4 linked regions of the Elephas maximus indicus genome follow. The protein of the gene in region 1 purifies or fractionates together with the protein of each later gene. This does not show direct contact. Links are inferred from orthologs where the notes say so. Each region holds a gene or a part of one and is shown in the gene's direction. Other genes may lie near its edges. The genes, in order: TIMMDC1, ACAD9, NDUFA13 and ECSIT.

Evidence for each region.
Region 2: the proteins of TIMMDC1 (region 1) and ACAD9 purify together in Homo sapiens (affinity purification with mass spectrometry; 3 studies listed by BioGRID and IntAct, counting the BioPlex papers as one, with this or other methods). This does not show direct contact. The link is inferred for Elephas maximus indicus from reciprocal best matches to the Homo sapiens genes TIMMDC1 and ACAD9.
Region 3: the proteins of TIMMDC1 (region 1) and NDUFA13 purify together in Homo sapiens (co-immunoprecipitation; 3 studies listed by BioGRID and IntAct, with this or other methods). This does not show direct contact. The link is inferred for Elephas maximus indicus from reciprocal best matches to the Homo sapiens genes TIMMDC1 and NDUFA13.
Region 4: the proteins of TIMMDC1 (region 1) and ECSIT purify together in Homo sapiens (affinity purification with mass spectrometry; 3 studies listed by BioGRID and IntAct, counting the BioPlex papers as one, with this or other methods). This does not show direct contact. The link is inferred for Elephas maximus indicus from reciprocal best matches to the Homo sapiens genes TIMMDC1 and ECSIT.

Annotation. Positions count from the first base shown.
Region 1 is NC_064819.1:9,882,331-9,890,028, forward strand, and holds the start of TIMMDC1 (complex I assembly factor TIMMDC1, mitochondrial), read left to right. Parts: upstream 1-4,691; 5' UTR 4,692-4,847; coding exon 4,848-5,038; intron 5,039-7,412; coding exon 7,413-7,575; intron 7,576-7,698.
Region 2 is NC_064838.1:41,144,628-41,152,093, forward strand, and holds the start of ACAD9 (complex I assembly factor ACAD9, mitochondrial), read left to right. Parts: upstream 1-4,449; 5' UTR 4,450-4,552; coding exon 4,553-4,717; intron 4,718-7,466. UniProt on the Homo sapiens protein: As part of the MCIA complex, primarily participates in the assembly of the mitochondrial complex I and therefore plays a role in oxidative phosphorylation.
Region 3 is NC_064821.1:39,275,559-39,282,648, forward strand, and holds the start of NDUFA13 (NADH dehydrogenase [ubiquinone] 1 alpha subcomplex subunit 13), read left to right. Parts: upstream 1-4,078; 5' UTR 4,079-4,099; coding exon 4,100-4,193; intron 4,194-7,090. Other genes in the region: TSSK6 (testis-specific serine/threonine-protein kinase 6), read right to left, coding at 2,462-3,283. UniProt on the Homo sapiens protein: Accessory subunit of the mitochondrial membrane respiratory chain NADH dehydrogenase (Complex I), that is believed not to be involved in catalysis. Complex I functions in the transfer of electrons from NADH to the respiratory chain.
Region 4 is NC_064821.1:29,504,008-29,511,541, reverse strand, and holds the start of ECSIT (evolutionarily conserved signaling intermediate in Toll pathway, mitochondrial), read left to right. Parts: upstream 1-4,523; 5' UTR 4,524-4,611; intron 4,612-4,805; 5' UTR 4,806-4,943; intron 4,944-7,534.

The DNA of each region.
Region 1 (7,698 bases):
ATTAAAAATTCACAGGGATTGTGTCCTTAGGTGCTATAAGTCTGTGGATAGGCACTGTGTATTTCTGAGCTGTACTGTACTGTGGTTTTGCCTTGTCGCTATGAGGCCCTAGTAGGTGTTCTCATTGTCTCTGTATTTTCAGTTTCCTCTCGCTAAAATAGTAGCAAAGTTTGCCGTTCTTTGGATTAGGAGTGAAACAGCATTGCTCTGGAGGTATTTCCCATTTTGCTTCAAGTTCCAGCCCAAACAACACTTCCTCTCTAAAGCCCTTCTTTTACTCCTCTAGGCAGTTAGGGATTACCAGAATATTTAGCTCATGCCTATATAATATGATATCACATTGTGCTATAGTTACTTGACTTCTTGATGCATAGGAATCATGTTGTAGTTATCTTGATGTCTCCATTGTCCAGCACAATGCCTCACACAGTAGATACTAAAGAACCTTTGGATGGGTAGAGGGATGGATGGATGCATGGAGATGGCTGGCTTAACTAGATCCCTGTTTACTAATTGCCCGGCCATTGGCTCTAGGGGGGGTTGGACAACACTGTAAGAATTGGATCAATGCAAATCCTGACCTTCCCTATGACGAGTCAGTAAGGGTGTCTTTGTATTTAAATGCAGAAAATATTATTCATATTTTTTACTTGTTTATCTGTTTACCTCAGTGTAGATGGTATAAGGATGGTGTGTAAAATACGTAAAATACATGTTTTTGGAAATAATTTGTATCCCCATAACTCTTGAGAGCTTTTTTGTTGTTGTCGTTAATACTAGCTGTGTCCCAGACATACCCTTTCTTCCCCAAAGAGCTGAAGGCCACATTTTTCTTTGAAGAAAGAATAATTTGGTGTATTTGAATGAAGTGGGATGCTTGGGTAACACAGTTAATGCTTTTCCTTTATTTTGGGGGCATCGTTTCTGTGATGTTGTCTACTGTGTTAGGTCAGGTCCTCCTAGTTGCCAAGAACAGAAGCTGCCTCCAGCTAGTTTAAGCAAAGAACTTACTAGAAGGATATGAAGGCATCTTGGAGACTCTAAATACATTTCATGCCATCGAAAGGGTAGATGAGGGCAATCCAGGAATCGCAACAAGAGTCTTGGACAGTCTCTCGAGGGCTGTTCTACTGAAGTTTCATAGAGCGCCGGGCTCTGTCACTCAGCCCAAAATTCCCAAGACAAAAAAAAGCTAACAGACTAACTTACTCTGCCCCAGGCTGATTATAAACAAGAGCACACACAAATACATAAAATCTATCTTCCTATGCATCTGAAGATGCCTTCACCTAAAATAATCCTACTACATTGAGAGGTAAGGTGATCGGGGTGGGGCAGAGGGGTACAATTACAAATCACTCATTCAATAGTTGTCAGAGAATTCATGAACTTCTACTGTGCACCAACAGTGGGATATAAGAAGTTTATAACAAGCTCTCTAACCTCAAGGGACTCTGTAGTTGAGGTAGAGTAAATAACAATGTGAGAGTATCATAAGCTGAATGTGATTAAGGGGACATGAGGACCAATGATTTATAAATACAATACGGATTTGAAGTTTAGAGGAAATTTCCAACTGGGGCAGATGGGAAACTTCATGGAGGTAAAAATTGAGTTACACTTTGAAGGATGGGTAAATGAAGTGTCCGTGGAACCCTCAAAGTTCATTCTCTCTACCTGTGGATATAATTTATATCACATACAATACAAGAAAATATGTACAGCAAGGCCTGTACCTGGAGAACCTGGCAGAGAAAGGGGAAATGCTAGCCCCTGGGAGAAAATTTACTATGGAGAAGCCGTTGACAGTTCTCTGAGTAGGACTGAGCAACAGGTGCTGAGGATAAAAAAAACAGCAGTGGTTCCAGGTACAGTGTGGTGTATTAAAAACAAAAAGTTTCTGTAAAATAAGAGTTACTCAGACTCAAAGATTTGCAAATAGAGAAGGGCCAAAATGAAATTTCAAAACGGCGTTTCCGAAAAGTGAGCACAAGTACAGGTTCTTCATACTCAATTTTGCAGAACTCTGTACAGAGTTGGGAAAGGGTACGGTGTACATTAGACTGGTTGACATTAAACATACTCCATGAGACTAATTTACCAAGAGTTCCTATTGGCTGGGGTACTCAGCCTCTGTTTCCTGCACTCCAGAGCTGGTTCCTGCAACAATCTGGGGGGGTGGGGGGAGGGACCTCAGAACGTTGCAGAGCAAATTATCTTGGTCAAGAGTGTGGTCATGCGTCAGGGCACTCTAAAAAGCAGATGCACGGGCTAGGGCAAAATGGAGTCTGATTCAGACCTGTGTCAGCCATTTTAGTGACGTCAAGTGCCTCCGTTTTAGAGTCCTCTTTCACGGGTGACTGTACTGAAATTCTTCCCTGTCGCAGTTTCTCTGCTGGTAAATGCACACCCTGCGAAAGAGAGAGCTGTATGTGAAACACAGAATGGCCCGGCTAAACCCCATAGTACCTTTTGGCTTAAATAGTTTTGCCGTGATACCCTTCAAAGGAGTCCTGGTAGTGCAGTGGTTCAGAACTGGGCTGCAAACCAAATGTTGGCAGTTCAAATCCACCAGTCGCTCCTTGGAAACTCTACGGGGCAGTTGTACTCTGGCCTATTGAGTCACTATGAGTTGCAATTGGCTTAACAGCAATGGGTACCCTTCAGAAAGAGCAGACCACGGAGGAAAGGTAGTATTTCCCTAGTGGTAGAAGCCGCTTCCCTAGAGGCTTAGAGAAGCTGGAGAGTTGGAAAGTGATAAAGTGATAAGCCTTTGCATGGCCACCCGGCAGAGCTAAGCTGCCATTTCCCCGTCCATCAGGGCCCCAGGGCAGCGTCTCCGACTTGATGACTAGGCATCATTACAGGAGCTGTCCACCAATCTTGATGGACCACGCCCCTGAACACACCCTGAAGAAAAGCCTACCCCTGATGTGTTTCCTCCCCATATATACAACCCCCCCCCCCTCCCCGTGCATGCTCATCAGGGAGTCATCTTGGCAACACAGGTCCTGGTGAGCTCCTTTGCTTGGCCAACCAAATGAGGTTCTTTTTCCTTCGCTATTGTCTTACTCATGCCTCAGTGTTGTGACGAGGAGACCTGGAGGTCCTGTAACGGTGACGAGGAAGTGACAGTCAAAGTGCTGAGGTGGAACAGCAACAGTGTGAGCAGTAGCCAAGAGCCCGGGGACTTTCTTGAGGTACAAAATGGCAAAGAGAACCTTTGAAGTAAGTCTCCAGTCACTAACTCCAGAAGGCAGCGATGGCGTTAGTGAAATTTGCCTGTTACCACGGCCTCACCTACAGGCTAGTGAATACCGGGGAATTTTATAACTTATTTCATTAGTGTCTGCTCTGCTCTTCCCCCTTCCCCAATTCAGGTCCTCCCTCACCCCCGAGTGATTCTGAGGTCATCTTAAGCATACGTTTTTCTGCATGTAGGCTAGAAAGATTGCACAGCCATTTTGGGGGGCTTTCAGGCCTTGGGATTTATCCTTGTGCCTACCCCTGCAGCATCCTGGAGCCAGGGCCACGAGTAGGGGATCTGAATTCTTCACTGAACCTCCACGTGCCAGACACCGTGCTAGGTAGGTCCTGGAGAGACCGAGATGAATAAACGTGTCTCTGACCTAAAAATAAGTCTACTAAGATCAGGAAATAAACGTGATGCAGTGTAGTAAGCGCTATGATGGGTACTGAGTCTAATCCTGTCTCCCTGACACCAGAGAAATCTTGGTGGCTCTGGCACTCATTTAGCCCCATAATCCTGAATCATCACGTCTCTGGGCCTCATCTATAGAATTTCCGGTTATCAAGTTCCAGAATTTGATTTACTGCAGTTCTACTCTGTCCTATACGGTCGCTATGAGTCGGAATCGACTCGACGGCAGTGGGTTTGGTTTTTTTTTTGTTTGTTTTACTAAGGAACGGGGCAATTTATCCACTCTGGTGGCACGTGTTTGCATCCTATCTAAAAAAGAGTATGTTTGATGCCAAGCAAGGATTCAATGAAATTACACAAACCAGTTTGAGATTATTTTAAATGCATGCATATGGATAAAAACGATACTTTGAAACCTAAGTTAGCAGAGACTGTAGTGACAGGCAGTTACTGCTGGGCTATGAAACGCCTGATAGGAACTCCAGAGAACATGCTGCCTTTGGAAAAGCGGCAAGCAGATAAACTAAGGGAAGTGAAATCCACCCTGTGAAGAATTGCCAAAAACTGATTCTTCAAAAGAAAAACGTGTTTTGGAAATGCCGGTGTAACGGCCACCGTGAGCCGCCTTCGATGCCGCCCCCGTTTCCGGAAACCGGAACTGACAGAACACAGACGGACGGGCCCGCCTCCCGGAAGGATTCCCGCGTTGTACCAGCGTCCTTCTCTCCCCGTACTGCACTTGCATTGCCTATTGCACTTCTTAACCTTCCTGAGATTTCTGGCGTTTTAAGTACGCTGAACTACTTCAGCCTATGGTCACGCCTCGCCGACTAGAACCCGCCCTAGACCCGGTTTCCGCAGGCCCAGGCGGGGCCTGACGGCGTGGGCGCTCCAGCTGGCACCGCCCATTCACTTCCGGGGGAGAGCCTGGGAAGGCTACGAGCCCCGCCCGCCTCCACCAGGAGGTGCTTTCAATTCGGGCTCCGCCTTTGCCCCGCCCCTTGACCTTTGCCATGGTGGGGGCAGGACTTCCTGTCTCGTGTTCCAAGGACTTCCGAAGTCAGGTCGGGCTTTTGAGCACCGAGCCGTGGAGCTCTGTGGCGGTTCGCCCTCCTCCCGAGGCGCCTGCGGGCGACCTTGGGGTCCTGAAACCCCGGTGTGTCTGTCCGCCGGTCCGGAGAGGGCTATGGAGGAGCCTCCGATGGCGCCACAGAGCTGTCTCTGCAGGGCGTTCGGTCTTTTCCCCCGGGTCTTTGCTGCCGGAGCTGGGGTCCCCGACTCCGAGGCTCCCGCAGAGGGACAGCTGTCTCCTTACTTCCCAGAACCCCATGGCCCGGAATCTGGATGGGACCGCCTCCGGAAGCTGTTTGTTAAAGAGTAAAAGTGCCTAGGGTCTGTGGGGAGGGGACGCGAAGGAGGCGTGTTTTAGCCTGGGTAACCCCGGGACAGGGACCCCCGGGTAACCCTGGGACAGGGACCCCCGGGTGGTGTGGTTTGTATTATTGAATGGGTTTGAGGTTCTGATATTTGAACCCTGAGCGTGTGTTCTGACATTGCCATTCGGAGGTGGACAAACAGACCGATTTTCAAATAGTAAGGGTCAGACGCGTTAAAAGTAAGACCTTTTGGTGTAGTCTCCTCCTTTTACAGACTGGAAAAGTTGTGCCAAGCTAGTTAGTGGCAGAGTTGACCCTGGAACCCGCCCCTTCCAGTATTATTTCTTGCATTTCAGTTGATCGCAAACTGAGGTTATTTATTGACCTGTAACCGCTCCCCCCCCCCAAAATGAATGTTGGGAAGGGAACAGAGAGGGTGTCAAATTTTTATTTTGCAAATAAGGAATAAAAAATAGTGGCAACTATTCTCGTCATTTTATTAAAAAAAAATTAACTGAATTAAAAAATAAGGATATGATTTAAAAATAAAAGATAACCCAATAAATTGAATTAATTCATTTTATCTAATAAAAAACTCAGAATAGTTCATTCATTCATTCATTCATGTATTCATTCATTACTTACTGGTGAGAACTGTGCTCTGGACCAGCGTTCATAAAGTACTTTACCGTACTACTCAGTTTTCTCAATTGACTAGATTAAAACTGAAGCTTTATTAACGTTGCTGAGATAGTTGAGGACAGGGAAGCTGGTGGTGTTTCGTTCAATTACTTTAGGTATTTAAGTTTCATCTTTATTTTAAACATAACGAGGCAGCATTTCTCTGGTCTTTCCAATATCTGCGATGCTTGCGAAAGACCTTGTGTAGTATGTAACCAATGACAGTTATTTTGATCATATGTATAAACCACGGAAGTTGGAGCTTAAAGAAACAAAAGATAATCTAGTGTACCTTCATGCTTTCCTCTATATCGTAGATTAGGAAACCAGGGTCCAGAGAGATTCTGATCCTGGCTGCATGTCACTTAGCAGTGGAGTGACAGAACCAGGGCTACCACCTTATTTTATAGTCTAGATTGTAGCCTAGACTCCATTGCTATGCTGCCTTTTTTTTTCTCCACCATTCACTAGTTGTTTGGACCAACCATGTAACTTCTTAAAGCCTCTTTCTTCATCTGTAAAGTGGAGGTAAATAATTGTTCAGAGGGTGAAAAAGAGGCAAAGTACATACATCTTCTGGTCTATTAAATCTTAAACTTTACATTTGTGAGCCCTACCATCGGTAACAGTTTTAATGTAAATATACTGTCTTATTCATTATATAAAATAGTTCAAATTATAGCTGTTTTTCCTATTGATGTAACTATAAAAATTAGTTTTCTAAGAGATTTTATTTAAATTTCTCTTGTTGCAGAAACTGTACAGACTGATTCTTGTTTCAGAGGTTTTGTGGTTATTGACAATGAGACATAAATAAGCACTTGTACAGTTCTCTGAAGAAAGCAAATTAGTAATTACAAGTAACATTTAGTACTTTACTTACCTAGGAAAGCCATGATTTATAGTAACTTAACACTTAAAATGTAGTGATTTTTTTTTTTTAGAGCAATTCTAAGGATATCTTCGGTTCTATTTTCTTATGCTTTTGGGAGCAATAAATTGAATTCAGATTTTTAAACAGCAGCGTTTCCTTGTTTTAAATTGCTCTGTGTTGCCCACTGCGTAGTGAGATTTCTTAATGCTTTTTTACTGCAAACGCTTTTTTTTAAATACCAGGTTTTTATTCTTGCAGACATTGTCCTAAAATCCCATGAATCTGTGGAATTTCTAAAAGTTAGTTTGACATTCAAGAAGGAAAATATTGGTCTCTACATCCAACTCACAAATTCTTCCTGTTTCTAGGGGTGTGGTCTAGGGGTAATAGTCAACAAAGAAGAGCAACTTTTCAAAAATGTTTTTGTTGGAATGTAGTATGCATTTAGAAAAATGTACATACCAGTACTAATCAATGAATTTTCACAGACTGAAAATCGTGTATAGCCAATACCCAGAAACAAATAAGACTATTACTGGCCTACCAGAAGCTCCCCTTTTCACCCTCCCAGTCACTACCTACCCAAGACTAACCACTCTCCTAGTTTCTAACAGCATAGACTAGTTTTGCCTTAAATTTGAGCTACCTTTAATATAACTGCACTATTGAATTCATCAGAGGGTTTAATAAATTCAACCCGTGATAAAAAAGATATTTATGTGGTGGTGTTAGCATTCGGGATAACAACTGATCATTGTGTGTTTTGGAGAGGAATATCCATAAACTAACCCCAAACAACATTGTCTTTTTGGTGTTTTAGTGAATGGCGGAGAGCTGAAGAACTTCAGAGTATTTATAGGGCAGCGATTTCAGCAGGCATCATTGGCTTTGCATATGGGGGAATTCCAGGTTTTATTCATGCTAGACGACGCTACGTTGAGCAGAGCCAAGCAGAAATTTATCATAACCAGCTTGATGCTGTGGTATGTACTGGTAGTTTAATAGTATTTTGGGAACACGGTAATTTAGTTAGCACTTAGCATTTAGTTAGGTCATGGGGTTGAGAGGGCTTGTGTCAGAGTAATAACAATGCAAGTACTAATGCT
Region 2 (7,466 bases), on another chromosome or scaffold:
CTGCTGACCCTGTACTCTGCCAAGCATGATATCTTCTCCAGGGACTGATCTCTCCTGACAACATGTTCCAAGTATGTAAAATGCAGTCTCACCATCCTTGCTTCTAAGGAGCATTCTGGTTGTACTTCTAAGACAGATTTGTTCATTCTTTCGGCAGTCCACAGTATATTCAATATTCTTCGCCAGCACCACAATTCAAAGGTGTCAGTTGTGGATTGAATTGTGTCCCTCAAAAGTATGTGTTGCAAATCGTAGCCTTATGCCTGTAGTTATAATCTCATTTGAGAATGGGTTGTCTTTGTTATGCTAATGAGATAGGATTAGTATAGGGTGTATCTTGAGTCAATCTCTTTTTAGATATAAAAAAGATTAAACAAGCAAGTGAAAGAAGTAGAGATGAGGAAGACTGATGCCAAGCCACATGGAGATCTCCAAGGAACCAGGAAACAGAGCTGAAGAGACAAGAACTTTCCTCCAGCGCTAACAGAGAGAGAAAACCTTCCCCTAGAGCCAGCACCCTGAATTTGGACTTCTAGCCTCCTTAACTGTGAGAAAATAAATTTCCTTTTGTTAAAGCCACCCACTTGTGGTATTTCTATTATAGCAGCATGAGATAACAAAGACAGAATTTGGTACCAAAAGAGTGGGGTGCTGCTCTAACAGATACCTAAAATGTGGAAGTGGTTTTGGAATTGGGTAATGGGTAGATGTTGGAAGCATTTTAAGGTGACTAACGGTAAAAGTGGAAACCCTGGTGGCGTAGTGGTTAAGTGCTACAGCTGCTAACCAAGAGGTCGGCAGTTCAAATCTGCCAGGCACTCCTCGAAAACTCTATGGGGCAGTTCTACTCTGTCCTATAGGGCTGCTATGAGTCGGAATCAACTCGACGGCAGTGGGTTTGGTTTTTTGGTAACAGTAAAAGTGGAGCCCTGGTGGTGCAATGGTTAAGAGCTCAGCTGCTAACCCAAATGTTGGCAGTTCAAATCTACCAGCTGCTCCTTGGAAACCCTACGGGGCATTCTACTCTGTCCTATATGGTCACTATGAGTCAGAATTGACGTGACGGCCACAGGTTTTTTTTTTTTAGTAGTAAAAGCCTAGGTTGCCTTGAAGAGCATGTTGGTAGAATTATGCATGTCAAAGGCAACTCTGGAGATGGCTCAGAAGGAGGTGAGGAGAGCCATAGAGAAAGTCTCTATGGTCTTAGAGAATACATATGGCGCCAGCAACAGAATGTTGCTATAAATGTGGACATTAAATGTGCTTCTGATGAGGCTTTAAAAGGAAATTACGGACATGTGATCGGACAATGGAGGAAGGGTGATGCTTTTTATAAAGTGGAAAAGAACTTGTCTGAATTATGTTCAAATGTTTAGTGGAAGGTAGAACTTGATGAACTTGGATATCTGGCTGAGGAGATTTCTAAGCAAGATCTTAAAGGGGCTGTGTGGTTTCTCCTTGCTGCTTATAGTAAAGTGAGATAGGAAAGACATAGACTTAAAAATGAACTGTACAAAATGAAAACAAAACTTAAAGATTTGGAAAATTCTGTTGTACAAATTAAGGGCACATGTCCTAGAATGTTCACCAAGGACGTGGCTACACATCTTTTGTTAAAGAGATTAAGGCCTGTGACTGATGGATCTAACCAACTACCACAGCAGGAAACTCATCAGCTTAGACTGAGGGGTACAGAGAAAGAATGAAAGGAAAGAAGGCTGTCTACCTCTTAGAATTCTACAGGCAGGAAATAGGCCAAAGGAGCTACATCTGTTGTCCTCCAAGAAAAGAAAAGGACCATGCCTGGAGCAGCTTGGAGATCACCAGAACTGTTAAAAGGAGTATGGGAAGCAGGTCCTTCTCAGTTTCATAGGGTGGGGCCACAGCCTCCTAGGTTTCAGAGTTGGATCTTTGCCAGCTGGGTTCTGGAGTGTGGGGCTGACAGTAAGGTGTGCCAGAGGAATGGGGCCACAACCCAAAGCTGAGGAGGCAGGTCTGCCATGCCGAGGGGACAGAAGAATGGGGCCTGCTGGAGCCGAGGGAGTGGGGTTGCCACGCAGACTAGGACTAGGGGAATAAGACTACCCAAATGCGAGTGAGTAGAGTTGCCGTTTCAGTGGGCCTGGAAGGTGGAGTCAAAGCCCAGGGTGAAAGGCCACCACCCAGAATCCAGAGGGCATGGCCAACACCCAGAGTCTGGAGGGCGGGACCATTGCCTCATGGTCTCAAAGAATAGATGGTTATTTTCAAGCCTTGAGGGCTAATGTAAATTTTTTCTAGGTTTGGGATTTGCTTGGTGCCTATTATCCCTTCTTTCCCTCCAATTTCTCCCATTTGTAATGGAAATGTCTATCTGGTGTCTGTCCCACCGTTGTACTTTAGAAATACGTAACTTCTGGTTTAGATTTCACAGGATCACAGATGAAGAAGACTTCTGCCCCAGGATAGAATATGCCTAAAGTCTCACCCATGTTTGATTTATATGATTCTGAAAATTAGATCTTGGACTTGGAGTAGGCAAGCATGCAATTATAAAGTGTGCTAGCAAACCTTTAAAGCTGAAGCACCTGGCATAATAGAATGACTGACATGAAGTCTGAATTAAAACTCCATTTTGTTACAAGCATCTGCTTCTGCATTCCTGAGAATGTAAGCTTGGTGTCTTCCCATTCGTATGCAAATAATCTTGGGCTTCTGGCTGGGTGGAACCAGTAGACCCTGGCCTATCAATCCTCTTGTTTTCGCAGTTATGTGAGTATACCCAATCCCCTTAACTCACATAAACTCTGTTAACCAATCCCAACCAAAGCCCTACCCCCTCCTGCTTGGTGGTTTCCTGCCTCCTACTTAAGAGTCAGAATCACTGGACAGCGAGATGTTCGTTGTTGTTTTCTTTAAACTTCACTAATTGCATGCCTCATAATTAGAATATTATAAACTAAGTTCCTGATTCAACCCTATAACTATGCCCATGTGACTGCAGCTTTTTGGAGAGCTGGTTTTTACTTTGTGAGATCAAATGTGTCCCCAGCTCCTTTGCTATCAATAAATCTTTTTTTCTTAAATATATTTTTAATTTTTTTTTATTGTGCTTAGTGGGTTGGTGATTTTAAGGTGAAAGTTTACAGAGCAAATTAGTTTCTTGTTGAACAATTAATACACATATTGTTTTGTTGTGACATTGGTTGCTAACCCTGCAACACGTCAACACTCTTCCCTTCTGGACTGCCATGCTTTTCAGCTATACGCATCCCCTCCTAATGGAGTCTCTTTTGCTCTTCCCCAAAGCATGCTGGGGATGAATTCGGGATGGACTCAGGCTACCGTACAAGGCTGGGGATGGTGTGACTGGGCCAGTGGCCAAGGCCAAAGAACGCCTTAGCAACAAGAAGGAGAACAGCTGGGCCTGGAAGTGAAGTTCCTGGGAACAGTAATGCCCAAGAACGTGGGAGAAAACAACGAGCCTTTGTCCCAGCTGGAACGGTACGTAAGCTTGTGCCTCCTGCTAGGTGGTTGCAAAGCGCTGAACTGGTCCAGGCACCGCCCTGGGCCACGGTCTGTAAGTAACCTTCGGGAATAAACAGTATGTCATGATCGCTGGTTCCAGAGTTTTTATCTGGTCTCTTGGAGATGCCGCCCACCTTGGGTTCGGGTGCCGCTGTGTTTTTACACAACGTGGACCTTAGGTTTCCCATTTTCATTTGCCCAGCTTCCCTGTCCCCTCGTGCCTTCTCATCCTTGCCCCTGGGCTGGTGTGCCCACTTAGTCTCCTATACAGGTTCAGCTACGGGTGTGTTACTGTTTTATAGGCTTGTCTAATCTTTGGCTGAAGAGTGAACCTCAGGAGTTACTTTGGTACTAAGTTAAAGGAGTGTCCGGGGGTCCATACTCTCGGGGTTTCTCCAGGCTGTCAGACCAGTAAGTCTGGTCTTTTTCAATAAATCTCTTTACTTCCGTTTTAAGCAGAGTAGTCATTGTCACGCGAGGAGAGAAGCAAAACAAAATGAACCCCCATGTATCTATCACCTACTTAAAAAATGCAATATTATCTGCACTGTGAGCGCCCCTCCGGTGATAACCAATTTCGTGTCTTTTTTCCCCCACTCCTTTGCTTTTTTTTTTTTTTTTTTTGCTTTAGGGTCGCTAGGAGTTGGAATTGACTCCACGGCAACGGATTTTTTTTTTTTTTTTTGCTTTAGTTTTACCTTGTACTGCTTGCCCCTGCCTCAGGAAGAGAGGCAAGTGGAGGCAGTTGGGCCGCTTCTTAAGCACCTGGAAGACTCTCAGGGCTGAGGGTTACGCAAACAACCGCTCGCGTTTGAAAACAAAACCTTCCCGGGGGCCCCCAGCAACTAACGTGAGAAGCCGCCCATTGAGGTGATCCCCAGCCCACTCGCCCTGCCCTCCCCTGCGGCCCAACGCGGCGCATGCGCACTGGCGACCGGCGGCGCCTAGCAGGCCAGTGGCGTCATCAGGCGGCGCGATCCCGCGCACTTCAGCCTGAAGCACTGAGGAAGAGGTGACACTGGTAGTCTGAGCGACTTCAGGCAGCATGAGCGGCGGCGGACTCTTCCTGCGCGCGGCGGCGACGACGGCGACGGCGACGGCGCGTGCCTGCCGGGCTCTGGCGGCCTTCACGGCGAGCCGACGCTCGCTGCGCACCAGCCCACCGAGCCGAGGTTTCGCCAAGGAGCTCTTCCTAGGCACAATCGAGAAGGTAACGCCCACCCTTGCTCTCGGGCCCCCGCTTTTCGCCCTTAGCAGGAAGACTGGGGTCGACGTGTCAGAGCCCCCAAACCTGCCTGACAAGAATCACCTCGGTGTGGGGTGTTTTAAAACTCCGGATTCCCGAGTTCCACTAGCAGTCCAGCGCTTTAACCACAGCGCCACCAGGGCTTGTAACTCTCCTTTTATAGTTGGAAGACTTGGATTTGGCCTTGACTGTTTTTTGTAACTTTAGCCTTCGTTCTTTCAACCTTGAAATGGAACTAGTGTTGTCTCTACGTCACAGATGTGCTGTAACGCCCCAATGAAATATATGGTGCATGAAAGTGATTTTTAAACTGTAAGATACTCTGTTTATTTTTTTTAATGTTTTTAAGATACGCTGCAGATACAAGAGGCAGCAGAGTAAGTAACGCTGGCTTCAGTACTTACTAGTTTTGTCACTTAACGCCGCTGTGCCTCAGTGTGCTTATCTACGAAATGGAGTAAAAACAGTACTCATCTCCTACTAAAGGTGCCTTGCAAACCAAAAAAAAAAAAAAATTTGTATGAAGTGCTTTGAGCAAGACTTGGTCCAAATGTTGGCTGGTACTGTATCACTTAGTTCCTGGTTTGTCATTAGAACAGTCCTCTAAGTTTGTCAGACCTTTATACAGACATTGCAGTTGCAGGAGCTGAGACTCAGACTGAGAGTGGTTTGCCCCTCTAGGAAATGCAAAGCTAGGTCTTTAAAATTTGGAAAACCATTTTCCCCAAAACTTGGGAGTATGTGGTGCTCTGTCCTGGGACCTCATGCCTCCCAGAAGCATGGTGAGGAGAGAACACACATCTGTCATGTTTCTTTCTTCAAACCTCTGCCACCACCTCCCGCATCCTCACTCTCAGCTTTGCTGCCCGTCTCACTGAGAAAATACATGTAGTCAGATGAGAACTTCCATCACCACATTTGCCCTCTCCTCCCATCATGTGTGTCCACATCTTCTACATTCTATCACTTTGGATGGCTACTAGCAAAGGCCAACTCATCTCTAGATGCTATGCCTTCTCACCTACTCAAGGACATTGATCCAGAAATTCTCTCCTTTCTCATCTGCATTGTTGTGGATTGAATTTTGTCCTTGCCAAAATATGTGTTGAAATCCTAACCGCTATACCTATGGATGTAATCCTGTTTGGCAATAGGACTTTCTTTGTTGTGTTAATGAGGCCATACCACTGTAGGCTGTGTCCTAAACCTAATCACTTCTGAGTTATAAAAAAAGCAGATGAGACACACATGCACACACGGGGGGGGGGGGGACAGCATGGGACAGATGCCATGGGGGGGATCATCAGAGAACACCTAGGGGTACTGACAGGGAAGGAATTGACATGGCTGAGATCCTGATTTGGACTTTAACCTCCAGAACTGTGAGAAAATAGATTTCTGTTTTTTAAAGCTGCTCTGGAGCCCTAGTGGTGCAGTAGTTCAGAGCTTGGCTGCTAAACAAAAGGCGAGCAGTTTCAATCCACCAGACGCTCCTTGGAAAATGCTACAGGGCAGTTCTGCTCTGTCCTGTAAGGTCGCTATGAGTCGGAATTGACTTGATGTCAATGGATTTTTTTGGTTGTTAAAGCTGCCCACTTGTGGTATTTCTGCCACAGCAGTACTGGGAAGCTAAGACATGCATCATCAGTTTTTCCCTCTCCACCGGATCTTGAGCCCATGCCGTTCGGGCATTTGTCCTGAACTATCTATGGTATACTAAAGCTGCTCTCGGGAAGAACAGCAGTGACCTCCACATTGCCAGATCTTGTGGTCTGTTCCTGGTTTTCATCTGACTTGACCCATCAGTGGCATCTGACACATTTCATCACTCCCCCCTCTTTGATAGACCTTTTCCACCCGTTTTGTTGTTAGTTGCCATCGAGTTGATTCCACCTCCAACAATGGAACAAAATGCTGCCTGGTCCTGCACCATCCTCACAACCACTCTTGTGCTTACGCCCATTATTGCAGCCACTGTGTCAGTCCGTCTCATTGAAAGTCTTCCTCTTTTTCACTGTCCCTCTGCTTTATCAAACATGATGTCATTCTCCAGGGACTTGTCTCTCCTGGTAACATGTCTAAAGGATGTGAGATGAACTCCTACCATCCTTGCTTTTGAGGAGCATTCTGGCTGTACTTCTTCCAAAACAGATTTGTTCATTCTTTTGGCAGTTCGTGGCATATTCAGTTTTCTTCGCTGACACCGTAATTCAAAAACATCAATTCTTTTATAGTCTTCCTTATTCATTGTCCAGCTTTCACATGCATATGAGGCGACTGAAAACATCATGGCTTGAGTCAGGCACACCTCAGTCCTTAAACTGACATCTTTGCTTTTTAACACTTTAAAGAGATCTTTTGCAGCAGATTTTCTCAGTGCGATGCGTTGTTTGATTTCTTGACTGCTGCTTCTGTGGGTGTTGATTGTGGATCCAAGTAAAATGAAATTCTTTACAACTTCAATATTTTCTCCTTTTATCATGATATTGCTTATTGGTCCAGGTTGTGAGGAGTTTTGTTTTCTTTATGTTGAGATGTAATCCGTACTGAAGGCTGTGGTCTTTGATCTTCATCAGTAAGTGCTTCAAATCCTCTTCATCTTCAGCAAGCAGGGATGTGTTGTGTGCATATTGCAGGTTGTTAGTGAGTCTTCCTCCAATCCTGATACCACATTCTTCTTCATACAGTCCAGCTTCTCAGATTTTTTGCTCAG
Region 3 (7,090 bases), on another chromosome or scaffold:
TTGCAGACAGCAGAAACCACACCCAAGCCTGTCCACCTCCGTTTATGGGACGTTTTCTAGGGGCCCAGCCCCATGACCTCACTCTTCCTAAGGATGGATTTGAGTCCTGGCCTTCCCTGGTCAGGCACCAAACTCCTCAAAGACCAGGGCAGATCCCTGGGTGAGTCTGGGCCACGGTCTCCAGTAGGCTGAACACTCTGGGCCACACTGTCTCCACCTACAAAATGGGGCACCAGCCCTAGTCCTTGCAACCCTGCCCCCTCTAACATCCTGGCCCTTCTGCTCACGAGCGCTGTGGAGGTACGGACAGTGAAGGGCCTGGGTGCTAGGGGCAGGGCAGTGACAACAGATGGAAGCATCATCACACCTTTAGATGGGGACAAGGAGGGAGAGCAGAGTGTCAGGCTGGAGATGACTTTGAGGCCAAGTCTTGAATGAAGATGGGGAGGTATTAAAGGGAGTGAGGACAGCCATGTTCAGGTGAGAACACATGTGGCGGGTGGAGAAATAGCGAGGAGGGCAGTGTGGCTGGACCAGGAGAGACAGTGAGTTTTATTCTGAGTGTGTGGGGGCCTGGGAGGGGTCTGGCTCTTGCCGAATCTCTGGTGAGACAGGCCCCCTCCCAACAACCCTGTGGTCCGGTTCCTGCACTTGTTTCCAGGTGAGGAGCCAGAGACATGGCCCAGGTCCCTGAGGAAAACCAAAACCAAACCAATTGCCATCAAGTCAATTCCAACTCACAGTGACCCCATGTGTACAGAGTAGGACTGCTCCATAGGGTTTTCAAGGCTGTGACCTTTTGGAGGATTAATCAGGCCTTTCTTCCAAGTCACATGAGTGGGTTCGAACCACCAACCTTTCAGTCAGTAGTTTAGTGCTTAACTGTTTGTGCCACCCAGGGACTCAGATCTGGATGAGGGGCCCTTCAAATTTAACTAGAGGGGCCCGGTCTTTTCTCTCAGCTCTGATGAGATTCAGCCAGGATCCCCCCTCTGATGGCAAGGCCTATCCCCACTGGGCAGCAGTTATCTGCAAAATGGGGTGAAAAGGACCACAACCTAAAAATTTAAGGGGGGAGGGGCCTAGTACTCCATCTCCAGGGCTCCAGGGAGCCGTGGAAGGTGAGTGAGCAGGAGTGGGACATAGACCCACAAGTCCAGCAGCTCCCTTAGGGGCTGTGTGGGTTTCAGATGGAAGAGATAGGAGGGATCAGGGTTAGGGAGACGCTTGCCACACACCCCAGACAGCCACTGTGACCAAACCCAGTAACCTCATCGTAGGCAAAATAAAACCCAAACTTCCCCAGGCCCTGTAGAGTCCCTCGCCGCAGATGCAACCCTCTTCACCTTCTCTCCCAACTTTCCCAGGTTGGTTCCTTCTGGCTCAGCTCAAATGTCATCACCCTGGTCCCTCCCGGACTGCCCTGCCCGATTTAGCACAATTTAAGATCATCTTATTCCAGGCCTTTCCTTTTGTTTTTACTTTCCACCTGCCTCCTTCAGATGGGTCCAAGCATCTCTGCTGAGTCCCAACCTCAATAAATGCACGAATACGCGAGTGAACCAAGTCTGAATGAACCAGTGGACCCATGCCCAGTCCCTAGCCCTGACTCTCCTCCCCCTGGCCTGGAGAGGGCGGTTCTCACCAAGCAGGGCTGCTCCGCTTCAGACTGATGGGGTTCGAATCCCAGCTGTGTTCTCGGGCAAGTGACAGCTGTGTCGGCCTGCTTCCTCATCCGTAAAGGCTCGGTCCGCGTATCAACAGGAGCTCCTCCCTCCCCTTCCGTCCAGTGAGCCCCCCAGCATCCCCATTCCCAGGACCATCACTACCGCTAGCACGATCTCACACCCCCCTCGATCCTGCCCAGGCTGGAGAGCCCGAAGAGCTGGCTTTGAATCTGCCCAACTCCCCACTGAGGCCTGCAGCAAAAGCCTCGACTTGCCTATCTCGAAAATGGATCTCCCATGCCTGCCCTTCCCCCCAGGGGAGCGACACACCCTGCCCCGAAAATGGGCCACGGCTAGAGCCAGATGCGAGGACGAGCGAGTTTATTACAGATTCCGGGGGGGGCCGGGCCCAGGGCGCCCTGCGCCCCCCTGGCGCCCGCGGTGGGCTGGGGACGGGCGCCGCGCACTCGTGTCTGCTTGCCGCAGGTCCTCGGGCGCGCGCCGTCCTCAGCTTAGCCGTCGCTCGTTCCGCGCAGGCGTACTGCCTTCGGCTCCTTGCACCCCGCCCCCTCCAGGAGCCTTCGTGCCGGGAGCCGGGGCCGCGCATTTGCCCTCCCGCTCTCTAGGTTGTGACTGAGCAGGAGGAGCTCGCTTAGTAGCCGTAGGGGAGAGGAGAGGGGAGGGCGCGTGCGCAGTGGCGGGCGGCGGCTTTGCGGGGTTCCGAAGCGCGTCCCTCGCGCGTGCGCCGCGCGTACGAAGTGCCGGGGCGGCACGAAGGGCGGGAGCACCGGCGGTTAGCCGGAGTCCCCCGCCCGCAGCCAACTGTTGCGCGCTACCTGGCCGGCCGAGGGTCGGGCCGACGGGCTGAACTGCAACAGCTCGGCGATCAGGGCCTTGCAGCGCTCAGGCAGCTCGAGCCCGTCGGGGTAAAGCACGCCGCGCTTCTGGCGCCGGGGCAGTCCGGCTATGTCCGAGTCGTCGAAGGGCATGCACCCGGTGACCATGACGTAGAGCACGACACCCAGGCTCCACACGTCGTATTTCTTGGGGTCATAGGGGATGCCCAGCAGCACCTCGGGAGACGCATAGGCCGCCGAGCCGCAGTAGGTGGTGCTTAGATCGGGGTAGCCGTGTGCCTGGCGGCCGAAGCCAAAGTCCGTGAGCTTGACGCGGCGCTCGTCGGGGCTGAGCAGCACGTTCTCACACTTGAGGTCGCGGTGCACCAGGTGGTGGTCGTGCAGGTAGCGCACGGCGCCGGCGATCTGCGCGAAGAGGTCGCGCGCCTGCGCGCCAGGGATGCGCCCGCTGCGCTGCACCGCCTGCAGCAGGTCGGTGGCGGCCGCCTCCATCACGATGTACAGCTTCCCGTTGCATACCTCGATGAACTCGAAGACGTGCACAATATGCGGGTGCCGCACGCCCCGCAGGATGGACAGCTCGCGCGGCAGGAACTTGTTGACGAAGTCGGGCGGCGCGCGCCGCCGGTCCACCACCTTGATGGCCACTGTGCCCTTGTACTTTTTGGACGTGGCCACCTTCACCTTGGAGTAGCTGCCTTCTCCGATAGTGCGGCCCAGCTTATAGCCGAGTTCGCTCAGGAGTTTGTCGCCCGACATGGTGGCGCCCGGGGCGCGTGGGGAGCAGGAGGCGGCTGCTGTCGGAGGGCGGCCGGACTCCGATTTCGGGCCTAACCCATGGCGCTTGGCACCTGCACCCCCGTACCCCCATGTGCCCACTCCCAGACCCCTGCCGCCGCGGCGCCTTTTATTGCCGCGGTAACAATTTCTGCCTTGTGAAGTGACCGCAGGCGTCACCCTGCCGCGGGGTGGGGGGGTACCCCTGAGCCGTGCCCCGCAGGCGCCCAAGCCCCTCATACTATGTGACTCACAATCGCCCGGAACGGCTCAGTTCCGGAGAAGCGGCCCCTAGCCGGGTGTCTCGACCACACTGGGGAGCAAAATCCGCGCCTGGGATCTGGGCGCCTCCTCGTGAGTCCGACCTCGGCTAACAGCGGACCCTTCCCCTCCCACTCCGTGTACCCCCCGCCCCATGGCCATGGGGAGTCCTGGGCTGCCCGCAGATTCCCCTGACGTGGAGAAAACGGGGAAGGGGCTTGACTCTGGGACCTGCTTCCTTGGGGAGCAAGAGGCTGGGGGTTCCTGACAGTCCGCGCTGCAGCCCTGAGGGAAGGTGAACCCGAGATCCTTTAGTACAGTGATGAGGGCGCCCCAACGCCCAGTCTGGTAAATAAGGACTCAGACGCGCTGCTGGAGCCAGGCTCCGCCGCCCCGACGCTCCGCGCCATCCAGGGGCTAAACCAGCGCCCCAGTCCTGTCAGAAACCTCTCGAACTTCCGCCACACTCATCATGACGGCGACAACCGCCTGGTACGTAACTTCCGCCCACGGCCGGAAGTGTAGGACTCTGGTAGAATGGCGACGGCGAAGGTGAAGCAGGACATGCCCCCGCTGGGGGGCTACGGCCCCATCGACTACAAGCGGAACCTGCCCCGTCGGGGTCTGTCGGGTCAGTGTCGCCGTGCGCCGGGGTGTCAAGGTCTGGGGCCCTCGGGCCCCCGCGGCGGGGACGGGACGGCGAGCGGGCCTCAGTTTCCCGGCTGTGCTGCGGGGAGATGGAGTCCCAGGATCCCCCATAGTTTCAGTAATAACGATCATATGTGCTGCAATTTGTGTCTTTTTAACAATCCAAGAGGTCAGTCCGTTAATTACTCCCATTTTACAGACGGTAAACTGAGGGTGGCTTACCCGTGACCCTGGCCCCTTGGCTTTGCTCCGGCTTCCAAGGAGGAGAAACTTGCCTGAGAAAGGCTGCGACTCCCCCAGGGTCAGTCGGGGCCGAAACCCAGGGAATGTCCTATAGGGTGGCCCAGGAATCTGTGTTCTTGAATTTTCAAATGTTGTAAGTAATATTTTACATTGGGTTCAACACAGAAAAAGTAAAAGGTGCCACACTCAGCACCCAGTGTTAACAGAAATAAAATTTAAAACATAATTTAAGGGTGAATACAATTGCCGAAATTCATCAAAATTTACATTTAAAACCTGTGCATGTAGTTGTATGCAAATTATGTTTCTGTTTAAACAAAGGGAAAGGAATTAGCAGGCGTGGTAAAAAAATGTTAATTCAGACTGTGGAAGAGTGAGTCTTTCCCTTGACCCATTCCTTCTTGGTTTTTGTATCCTAGAACAGGGGTGGGCAAACTTTCTCTGGAAAGGGCCAGATGGTAAATATCTTAGGCTTTGCTGACCACGGAGTCCCTGTCCCTGCTACCTTTTCACAACGGTTTACAAATGTAGGAACGTTCTTAGCCCAAGGGCCGTACAAGACCAGGCTATAGGCTTTATTTGACCCAGGGGCACTTGTATGCCTAAGATTCTAGTTCTAGAACAGGTTGACAGACTATGACATGATGTCGGGTGCCATCCAGTTGATTTCGCCTCATAGCGACCCCATGTGACAGAGTAGAACTACCCCATCGGGCTTCCTAGGCTGTAATCTTTACCGGGGCAAATCACCAGGTCTTTATTCTTCGGAGCCTCTGAGTAGATTCAGACAGCCAACCTTCCTGTTTGCAGCTGAGTGCTTAACCATTGTGCCACCAGTGCTCCTTATGATGTGATGAGAGCCTCCATATTTCTTTTATTGAGGGGTAACTGAGCACCCAGCCTGTTAGACCCCCTCAGGTGTGTATTGGGATAATGTGCACCTGTGTGACTTGGACCAGACCCATGGGCCTCCTGTTCCCCCTAGTCCACATCTCCCATTTTTAAGTCCCAAATGTGCCTTTCACCATGGACCTCTTCGGGTTCATGATATCGCAGTACACCAGTGTTTCCTGTAGAACATGCAGGCTCACCTGGGTCTTTCCACACCGTGAGAGGTGAGGAAGATACCTCTTCCGGTGGTGTGGTCTTCTTTATGAGGCAGCAGCTTCCCTGGGGCCCTCTCACCCATCTGTCCTTGCTTCATGGCCCTGTTCAGACCTCAGCCCTGTCTCCAAGGGCTCACAGCCTAGCTGAGGAGACAGATACCATTGCACAAGAATTTCCAGTTTTGAGGATAAGAGGCCTGTGTCAGCCAGGGTGGCAGGGAGCGCCACTTTGAGGAGGAGCCCCCAGGAGGGAGGCACAGCAAGTATAAAGGTCTGTTCTCCATCCCCACAGCCCACATTCCCATCAGCCCACCCTCCCTGCTCCTGTCTTAACCCTGTGGCCCTGAGCCTGACACCCACTGCCCAACAGTGGCTAGAACGTGCCAGGCTGCCCAGGCACCTCCCCTTTGCTCCCCAGTGCTCTAAAGTGACTTCCACCCCCTTTTCCACTCCTCGTCTCTTTTACCCCAACGTTCTACTCCTTCCTCAGTCTAGGTTGGAGCCTTTTCTTATTTTTGTGTCTTTAATATCTTTATTGAGATACATATAATTTACATGCCATAGAATTCACCCATTTAAAGTGTACAATTCAGTGGTTTTTAGTACCTTCACAGATACATGCAACCATCTCCACAGTCAATTTTAGAAGATTTTCATCCTCTCAGGAAGAATACTTGTGCTTATTAGCAGTCATGCCTATTCCCCACCCTCACCCCCAGCCTGTGGTGACTACTAACCTACTTTCTGTCTCTGTGGATTTGCCTGTTCTGTGGTTAAGAGCTCGGCTGCTAACTAAAAGGTTGGCAGTTTGAATCCACCAGCCGCTCCTTGGAAACCCTATGGGGGCATTTCTACTCTGTTCTGTAGGGTGGCTATGAGTCGGAATCAAGTCGAGAGCAACAGGTTTGGGTTTGTTTTTTTTTTTTTTTTTGGACATTTCACGTTAGTGGATAATACAGTATGTGGCTCCATTATATGGATACATTTTGTTTATCCATCAGGAATGGACGTTATGAACAGTGCTGCTATGAACATTTGTGGATACATTTTTCTGTGGACCTACATTTTCATTCTCATGGGAATATACCTAGGAGTGGGGCTGCTGGATCCTATGGTAACTCCACGTTGAGCATCGTGAGGATCCACCAGGTTATTTCCAGAGGGGCTGCGCCCTTTTACATCCCTACCAGCAATGCACAAGAGCTCTAACTTCACCTCCTCAACAACACTCCTTATTATCTGACGTTTTGATTGTCATCATCCTGGTGGGTGTGAGGTGAAATTTCATTGTGTTTCTGATTTGCATTTCTCTGATGACTAATGACATAGAGCATTTTTTCTTGTTTGTATTGGCCACTCGAGTATCTTTCTTCCCTTATTAGGTATATGATTTTCAAATATTTTCTCTATCTCTGGGGGTTCTTTTTACTTCTTTGATGGTATCATTTGCAACACAAAGGTTTTAATTTGATGAGGTCCAGTGCATCTATTTTTGCTTTTATCACGGGTGCTTTTAGTGGCATAGTGGTTA
Region 4 (7,534 bases), on another chromosome or scaffold:
GCTTTAACAAAAAGAAATTCTCTCACAGTTTAGGAGGGTAGAAGTCCGAATTCAGGGTGCCAGCTCCAGGGGAAGGCTTTCTCTCTCTGTCAACATGGAGGAAAGTCTTTGTTATTAGTTTTCCCCTGGACTAGGAACTTCTCAGCACAGGAACCCTGAGTCTAAAGGCCACGCTGTGCTTCTGGCTCCAGTTTCTTGGTGGTATGAGGTCCACCCGTCTCTCTGCTCCTTCTGTCTTTTATATCTCAAAAGAGATTGGGTTAAAACACAACCTAATCTTGTAGATTGAGTCCTGCCTCATTAACATAACTGCCTCTAATCTCATTAACATCATAGAGGTAGGATTTACAACACATAGGAAAATCACATCAGATGACAAAATGGTGGACAATCACACAATACTGGGAATCATGACCTAGCCAAGTTGACACATATTTTTTGGGGGGGTACAATTCAATCCATGACAAGTGCTTACTATAAGCAGGCACTGTGCTAACCTATTTGCATTGTTTCATTTCCTCCTCACAACAGCCTTATGAGATGCTTTCATTATCCCCATTTTACAGAGGCAAAGACTGAGGCTCAGTGAGAGAAAGTCACATCCCCAAGGACACACCAATTATGAGGGGCAAGGCTGGGACTCAGCCAAGATCTGCTAGACTCTCAAACTGGCACTCCATAACCTAGCACACAGTACACATGGGCGGGGTGGTGGGGAGATAGCTTGTGGTGTCTCAGGGGTCTTTATAGGAAGCAGTAGAAGCCAGAGAAGGTGCACAGTAACACAGGAACATCTGATCTCCCTGTTGCAGAGAATCAGCACCAGGTCTAGGGTGAGGCAGTGGTCAGAGGTGGGAAGGGGATGGGGTGTGACCCCCAGTCCCACCCAGCCAAATTTTACCTGCCTACCATACAGCAGATAACCAGAAACATCAGCCACAGTCTATAGGTGAGGGGAACGAGGGACCCACTGACCCTCACCCTGGATTGATCTGGCCAGTGCAGCTGGTGGCCTGGCATGGAGGAGTCAAGGCCCTCAGCTCTGCACTTGGCTGGGGTAGAGAGAAACTGTGTGTTGGCACATGAGGCTCCTTAGTGGGACCAGCCTTACTCTGGGAAACTTCCTGGAGGGGTCCCTTTCTCACCTGGACACCCTCCAGCAGTGCTGCCGGCTCTCCACCTGCCCAGAAGCAGGGAGTAGGAATGGGGTGAAGAGGGGTCTATCCATGGGGGCCCAGCTGACTCTTACAGAGCAGGGATTGATACAGATGGCCTGTACAGAGAACAAGTTGTACAGGCCAGAGCGCTAATGGTCAGGGGCAAGTTTGGCCACACCTCTACTTAATTCATGCCCCCCCAGCCCCCCCCACCCAGCTACCTGGACTCCCACTCAGGTGTCTGTGTGGGTCCAAGGCTCTGTGGGCAAGAGGAACAGGTGTGGGCTGAGCGCCCTGGAGCTCATTTGATCAAAATGAAGTCAGGAATCAGAACCATGGGGGCCACAGGTACGGGCAGGGATGTGGCCACGTACACACCCCAGTCACCTCCTCTTCCTGATTGCCCAGCTCCTACAGCCAGAGAGGCAGATGCCAGCTGCACCACCTCCAATGTCGCCATGCTCCAAGGTAAGGCAACAATCTGGGGATCTGCCTGGTGCACACGGGGGAGCAGAGGCACACATCCAGGGACCCAGGCACTGTGTCTCTGTGGTGCGAGGGATCACTTTTGTGTGGCCTTTCTCACCATGGTCTTGTAACTCCCACCCAATACTTGGTTGGAACTGTACAGATAAGGTAATTGTGGTCAGTTTTGCCATCCCACTAGGCTTAAAAGAGAGCCAGTTCCAGGCAAAGGCAGGATCTCATTCACAACCATCAAGGAAGAATAGCCAGGAGCAGAGTGTGTCCTTTGGACCAGGGATCCCTACAGCACTGAGAAACTTCTGGAACCAGGAGACAGTCAGAGTTGTAATACTGAAGATGGTGAGAAGTGGTAGCAGAGAAAGAGCAGAGGAGAGACTGGCAGGGACAGCACAGTGGGCTTCCCGGCACACGGAGCAAAAAAGCTGAGTGCTTTTGGGCAGGAAGCTTGGTGGCAGAATAGGATGCCTCCAAGCACTTGGTGGAGTTATGTTTGCCGACCCATGGAGCTAGCGCTGAGTGTATTCTGGCTGAGGCTTACTGGTGGAGTGGGGTGCCTGGGGACGCTTCGGGCAGAGCTAAAAGAGCTTTGTGACACTTGCCTGAGCAGGGAAGAGGCAGAGAAAAGCAGTGGCATGACTGGGAACAGACTGTCTTGATGGAAGAACTGTATCCTATGTGTTCCTGAGCCTGTTACTTCCCTAATAAACCCCATAATCATGATTATTATCTGTGAGTTCTGTCTGGCCATTGCAATGAATTATCGAACGCAGCAGAGAAGTAGAGAGTGCTATGGGAGAGACTGTTGTGTCAGAATTGGTAAAGATGCCAGAGAGAGGAGGCATGTCTGACCTCTGCCTCGCAGGAATCAGCCTTGGGCTGTTGATCTTGATTCTCCTCTCCCCCTGTGAAACTAGAGATCAGGTGCCGTCCCCACACCATATTTACAATCTCACACACACAGGGTCACACATTCAGGATACAGCCAGCCCTGGGTAGGTACTGGGGATCAGACACATAACCACAGGCAGAGAGATACACACGGAGTGCTACAAACACAGTCACAACCCCACACTGTGGTCAGATATACACTCATACACAGAAGGAGTCTAGAGACACACTATTGTCACAAACATAGACCAGCCCACACGCAGATAGCTAGACACAGTCACAGAATCACTGAGACACACTTATAACCAGGATCATCACAGACATACACAGTGCCGTAGAAGTCAATGGCCAGGAACAATCACACACATACAAGTCAAGGACACACAGAGTGTCACAAACACAGTAACAAACACACACTGGTTGGAACACAACCACACATGGAGTCCCACAACATCAGAGACTTTGGCATGGTCAGACCTGTTACACCATTGCTGAAACACAATCAAAATCACACACATGGTGTGCCACACACTCACAGAATCACAGACTCACTCACTTGTAATTAGACATACAATCACACCCAGAGTGACCGATCTGGGGTATCACACACAGTCACATGCACTCCGATGATGGGACACAATCATGTATGCATAAGTCATAGACATACAGTGTGACAAATACAGTCATTTATCCACTGGTGTTCAGACATGCAGTCATACACACATTAAGGCACAGGAACAATCACAGAAACATTGACACACATACTGCCAGCCCCTTGACTTGTGGGGCAAATCCCCCTTCCCACACGCACAGAGTCACAGACACCCAGAAGCTAGTACACTAAGAGTCACACATGCAGCTACTGACAAACACACAAGAACCCATGAGACACTCACTATGACATGCTGTCACACACACCAATGCCCAGACTGGCCTGGGCACCACCCCTGACCCACACTCACACAGCCGCACATACACCTACACGCCTTTGCTTGAGTTTGGAGATACAACAAAATGCACAACCCCCTCCCACCACACACACACACACTACCACTCCAACATTGCAGTGACATTCCTCCTCCCACAGTTCCAGGACACATTCATGAACACACACACAGCCCCACACGACCCTCAGCCCTCAATGAGGGTGGCCCAAGGGTCAAACCAGACTCCTTCGTCCCAGTGGGGTGAAGAGGGGGTTGGGGGGGTGGGGTGGGAGAGGAAGGCTGAGGGTGAATCCCGCATGATAACAGTGGTGTTGTTGTATGCCATCAAGTCGATTCCTACTCATAGCCACCCTATATGACAGAGTAGAACTGCCCCATAGGGTTTCCAAGGAGTGGCTGGTGGATTTGAACTGCTGACCTTTTGGCTAGCAGCCTGAGCTCTTAACACTGCCACCGGACTCCATGATAACAAAACAATTTATATGGCTGTTCTCCAGGGATTAATTCAATTAAACCTCAAACAACCCTATCAGATTATTATAATTGCCCCATTTCACAGGTGAGACAATGGAGGGACATATGGGTTAAGCACTTGCCCAGAATCATGGACCTAGATTAGCAGAGCCTGTCTCTTCCACTAGTGTCAGCGCTGTGACACTCTAGTTTTGTTCGCTGCTGTATGCTCAGGGCCTAGAACTGTGGCTGGCACACAGTGAGTTCTCAATGGATGTTTGTTGAGGGAAAGAAGGAATTCACATCCCTTCCAACTTTGATAAGTTGATAATTCAACTCTGCGTCTCAGGAGGGAATACCGGAGGCTTAGGCTGGGATCACAGTCCCCCGAAGTCCAGCTTCCCAGTCTGGGACCGGCTCAATCACTCCTTCCCCAGCCATAGTTCACGGTTCCCAGGTGGAGGGTGCGGCTTGCCTTGTTAAGGGCGGGGCCTGGCTCGTTATTGGTGGGCCTCCCAAGGTAGGCGGAACATCTCTAAACTGGTCTTCACGATTTGCTGCTTTTTTTTTTTTTTTTTCGGGGAGAGGAGACGGTAACCCGGAAGCTCTTCGGGTCAATATGGCGGCGCCCAGCTGGAAGATAGAACCGGTCCGGTGGCCGCGGCCGGCCTCATGAGGAGGTAGGTCACGCGTTGGAGGGGGAGGGAGAGCTCCTAGGCCCCGGGGTGGCTCGTTCCGGGTCCGGGAACGCGGAAGGGCGGCCCCACAGGGACCCATCTGCAGGCCTACAGCGCCATGACCTTTTGAAGTGCGGGGCGGGGACGTAGAGGAAATCGCTCCCGCAGCCTCACATACTTTATTTCCCATTTTGTAGATAAGACAACTGAGACTCAAAGAGGTTAAGGCCCTCGCTCGAGATCACGCTGCAAGTCCGTAGCAGGCGAGAATTCGAACCCGTGTCTGCCAGTTGTTCTTGAGACGCAGAATCTTGGCAGCCAGCCGCAGCGCTGCTGTACGTACACCCATTCAAGGGGTTCAGGTTTATAGAGGTTTTGTAGAAATTTAGATCTTATTTCCTTTCAATTTGATAGTTGTTGGGCAACTGCCATTACCAGACACTGCCCCAGGTGCTGGGTACACAGCAGTGAACAAGACAGACAAAAATCCCGTCTTTTCTGGGTGAACGGGACATTGAACAAGTCAGAAATAAATGAAACAGATGATTTCAGCTACTGATCATTGCTGAAAATGCATTAATCTTGGTAATGGAGGCTTTTTAGATGGTGGGCAGGGCGGTCAAGGGAGGCGTCTCATTTGAATGGAAATCTGAATGACCAGAGACAGCCCTGGGGAGGTCTGGGGAAAGTTCGTTCCAAACAGAGGGAAAAGCAAGTGCAAAGATCCTGAGACGAATAAAACTTGGCTTGTTTAAGAAACAGTGTAGCTGGAAGAGTAGACCCTGTGGGATTTTATTTTAAGCGTGTGATATACATTGGAGCCCTGGTGGCTTAGTGGTTAAGAGCTATGGCTGCTAACCAAAAGGCCAGCAGTTCAAATTCACCGGTTGCTCCTTGGAAGCTCTGTCCTATAGGAGCGCTATGATTTGGAATCGACTCCACAGCAAAGCGTTTTGGGTTTTAGACCATTCCTGATTTTAGGCAGAGTGCACTAAAAATAACTTACATTTAAAAAAAATTCCTCTGACCACAGTGACGAGAACTGACTGGAGGCAGGTAAAGGTAGAGGTGGGAGAGGCTGAGTAGGTGCCTAGGGAGAGGCAATGGATTGGGGTCATGGCCTGTGAATGAAGAGAAATGCATGCATATGGAATCAATTTGGGAATAGTCAAATTGATGGATTGAATGGGGGAGTGAGGAACTTGGTGGGCTCAGAGCTGACTCCTAGGTTTGTGGCCTGAGTAACTAGGAATGGTGGTGCCATTGCCTGTGATGGGGAGGAACAAGCTTAAGCAGCGATACCAGTTTGGAGCAAGTTAAGTTTGAGATGGCTGGGTGTACATCAAAGCGGCAGTTAGGTATCGAGGCTGGTGCTCTGGGCTGGTGTTGGAGATAAACATTTCAGAGCTGTTAGCGCATAGGTCAACACTTATTAGACTTTAATACACACAGGAGACGCCTGGAGCTCTTGTTAAAACACACATTCTGATTCAGCAGGTGGTGTGGATTAGGGCCAAGATTTTGCATTTCTAATAAGCTCCCAGGTTATGCTGAAGCTACTAATCCCTGGAACACACTTTGAATAGCAAGGATTTAGAGCAGCGGTTCTTAATCCTAACTGCATATTAGAGTCATTGGTATGCTTTAAAAATTTGGTGCCTGGGCCCCACACCCAAATATTCTGATTTTGTTTATTTGGGGTGTGGCCTGGGCATGAGAATTTGTTTTTTTAATTTTATTTATTTTGTTGTTGAGAATACACATAGCAAAACATAACACCAGTTCTGCAGTTTTTACATGTACAATTCAATAACGTTGATTGCATTCAGTGACGTTGATTACATTCTTCAAACTGTATAACCATTCTCACCCTCCTTTCTGAGTTGTTCCTCCTGCATTAACATCAACTCACTGCCCCCCCCCAAAGGCTCCTATCTAATCTTTTGAGTTGCTGTTGTCAATTTGACCCCATATAGATAGATCTTAAAAGAGCACAATGCTCAAGGCAGACATTGTTTACTAGTTAAGCTAAACTACTGTTTGGTTTTAAGAAGACTTCAGGGTATATTTTTGGTTTAAGGTTCAAAGATTATCTCAGGGCACTAGTTTCAGGGGTTCATCTAGCCTCCAGGGCTCCAGAAAGTCTGGAGTCCATGAGAATTTGAAACTGTTCTGCATTTTCCTGGGCACAGGAGTTTTTTAAAGCTCCCTAAAAGATTCCAATATGAACAAAGTTTGAGAACCACCAGGGCTGTATATAGGAAATACAAAGATGAGAGGAACAAGTGAAATGACACTGCAGGGAAGCAAGCAGACAAATCCACAATGTGAAATTCTTTGCAGTCTCATTACACAAAGTGTAGTCCCCAGATCAGCACATCAGCCTCATCCAGGAGCGTTTTGGATGTGCAGAGTCTCTGGCCCCAGCCCAGATGTGCTGAATCAGAATTGGCACTTTAATGAGATCCCAGATGAGTCATCTGCATATTCAAGCACTTGTGAACATTGCAAAATTTAGAGAAGGAAATGTATCCTGCTGATTGATAAACAGAGAAAGTAAACCAAGAAAATATCTGAGTGTTGAGAAAAAGGCGGGAGGGTAGGTCACTTGTACCAGGTGCTTCTGAGAAATTGAGCAAGACGGAGTCCTGAGAAGTAACCGTAGCCTTTATAAGATATAAAACACAGAGGCCTTTACAAGAGAGATTTCATTGGAATGGTTGGAGGAGCAGCCAGGTTAGAGAGAGTGAGGATGGAGTTGTAGTGTGTAGACACCTCTGGGGAGAAATTTTGCTATAAAGGGAGCAGATATGTGGGACAGAGGTTGGAGGGAGACCTGGGGTCAAGATGGGAGATGCTAGAACAGGTTTAAATGGTGATAAGAATGATTCAAACACTTCCCAACTCATTATATGAGGCCAGCATT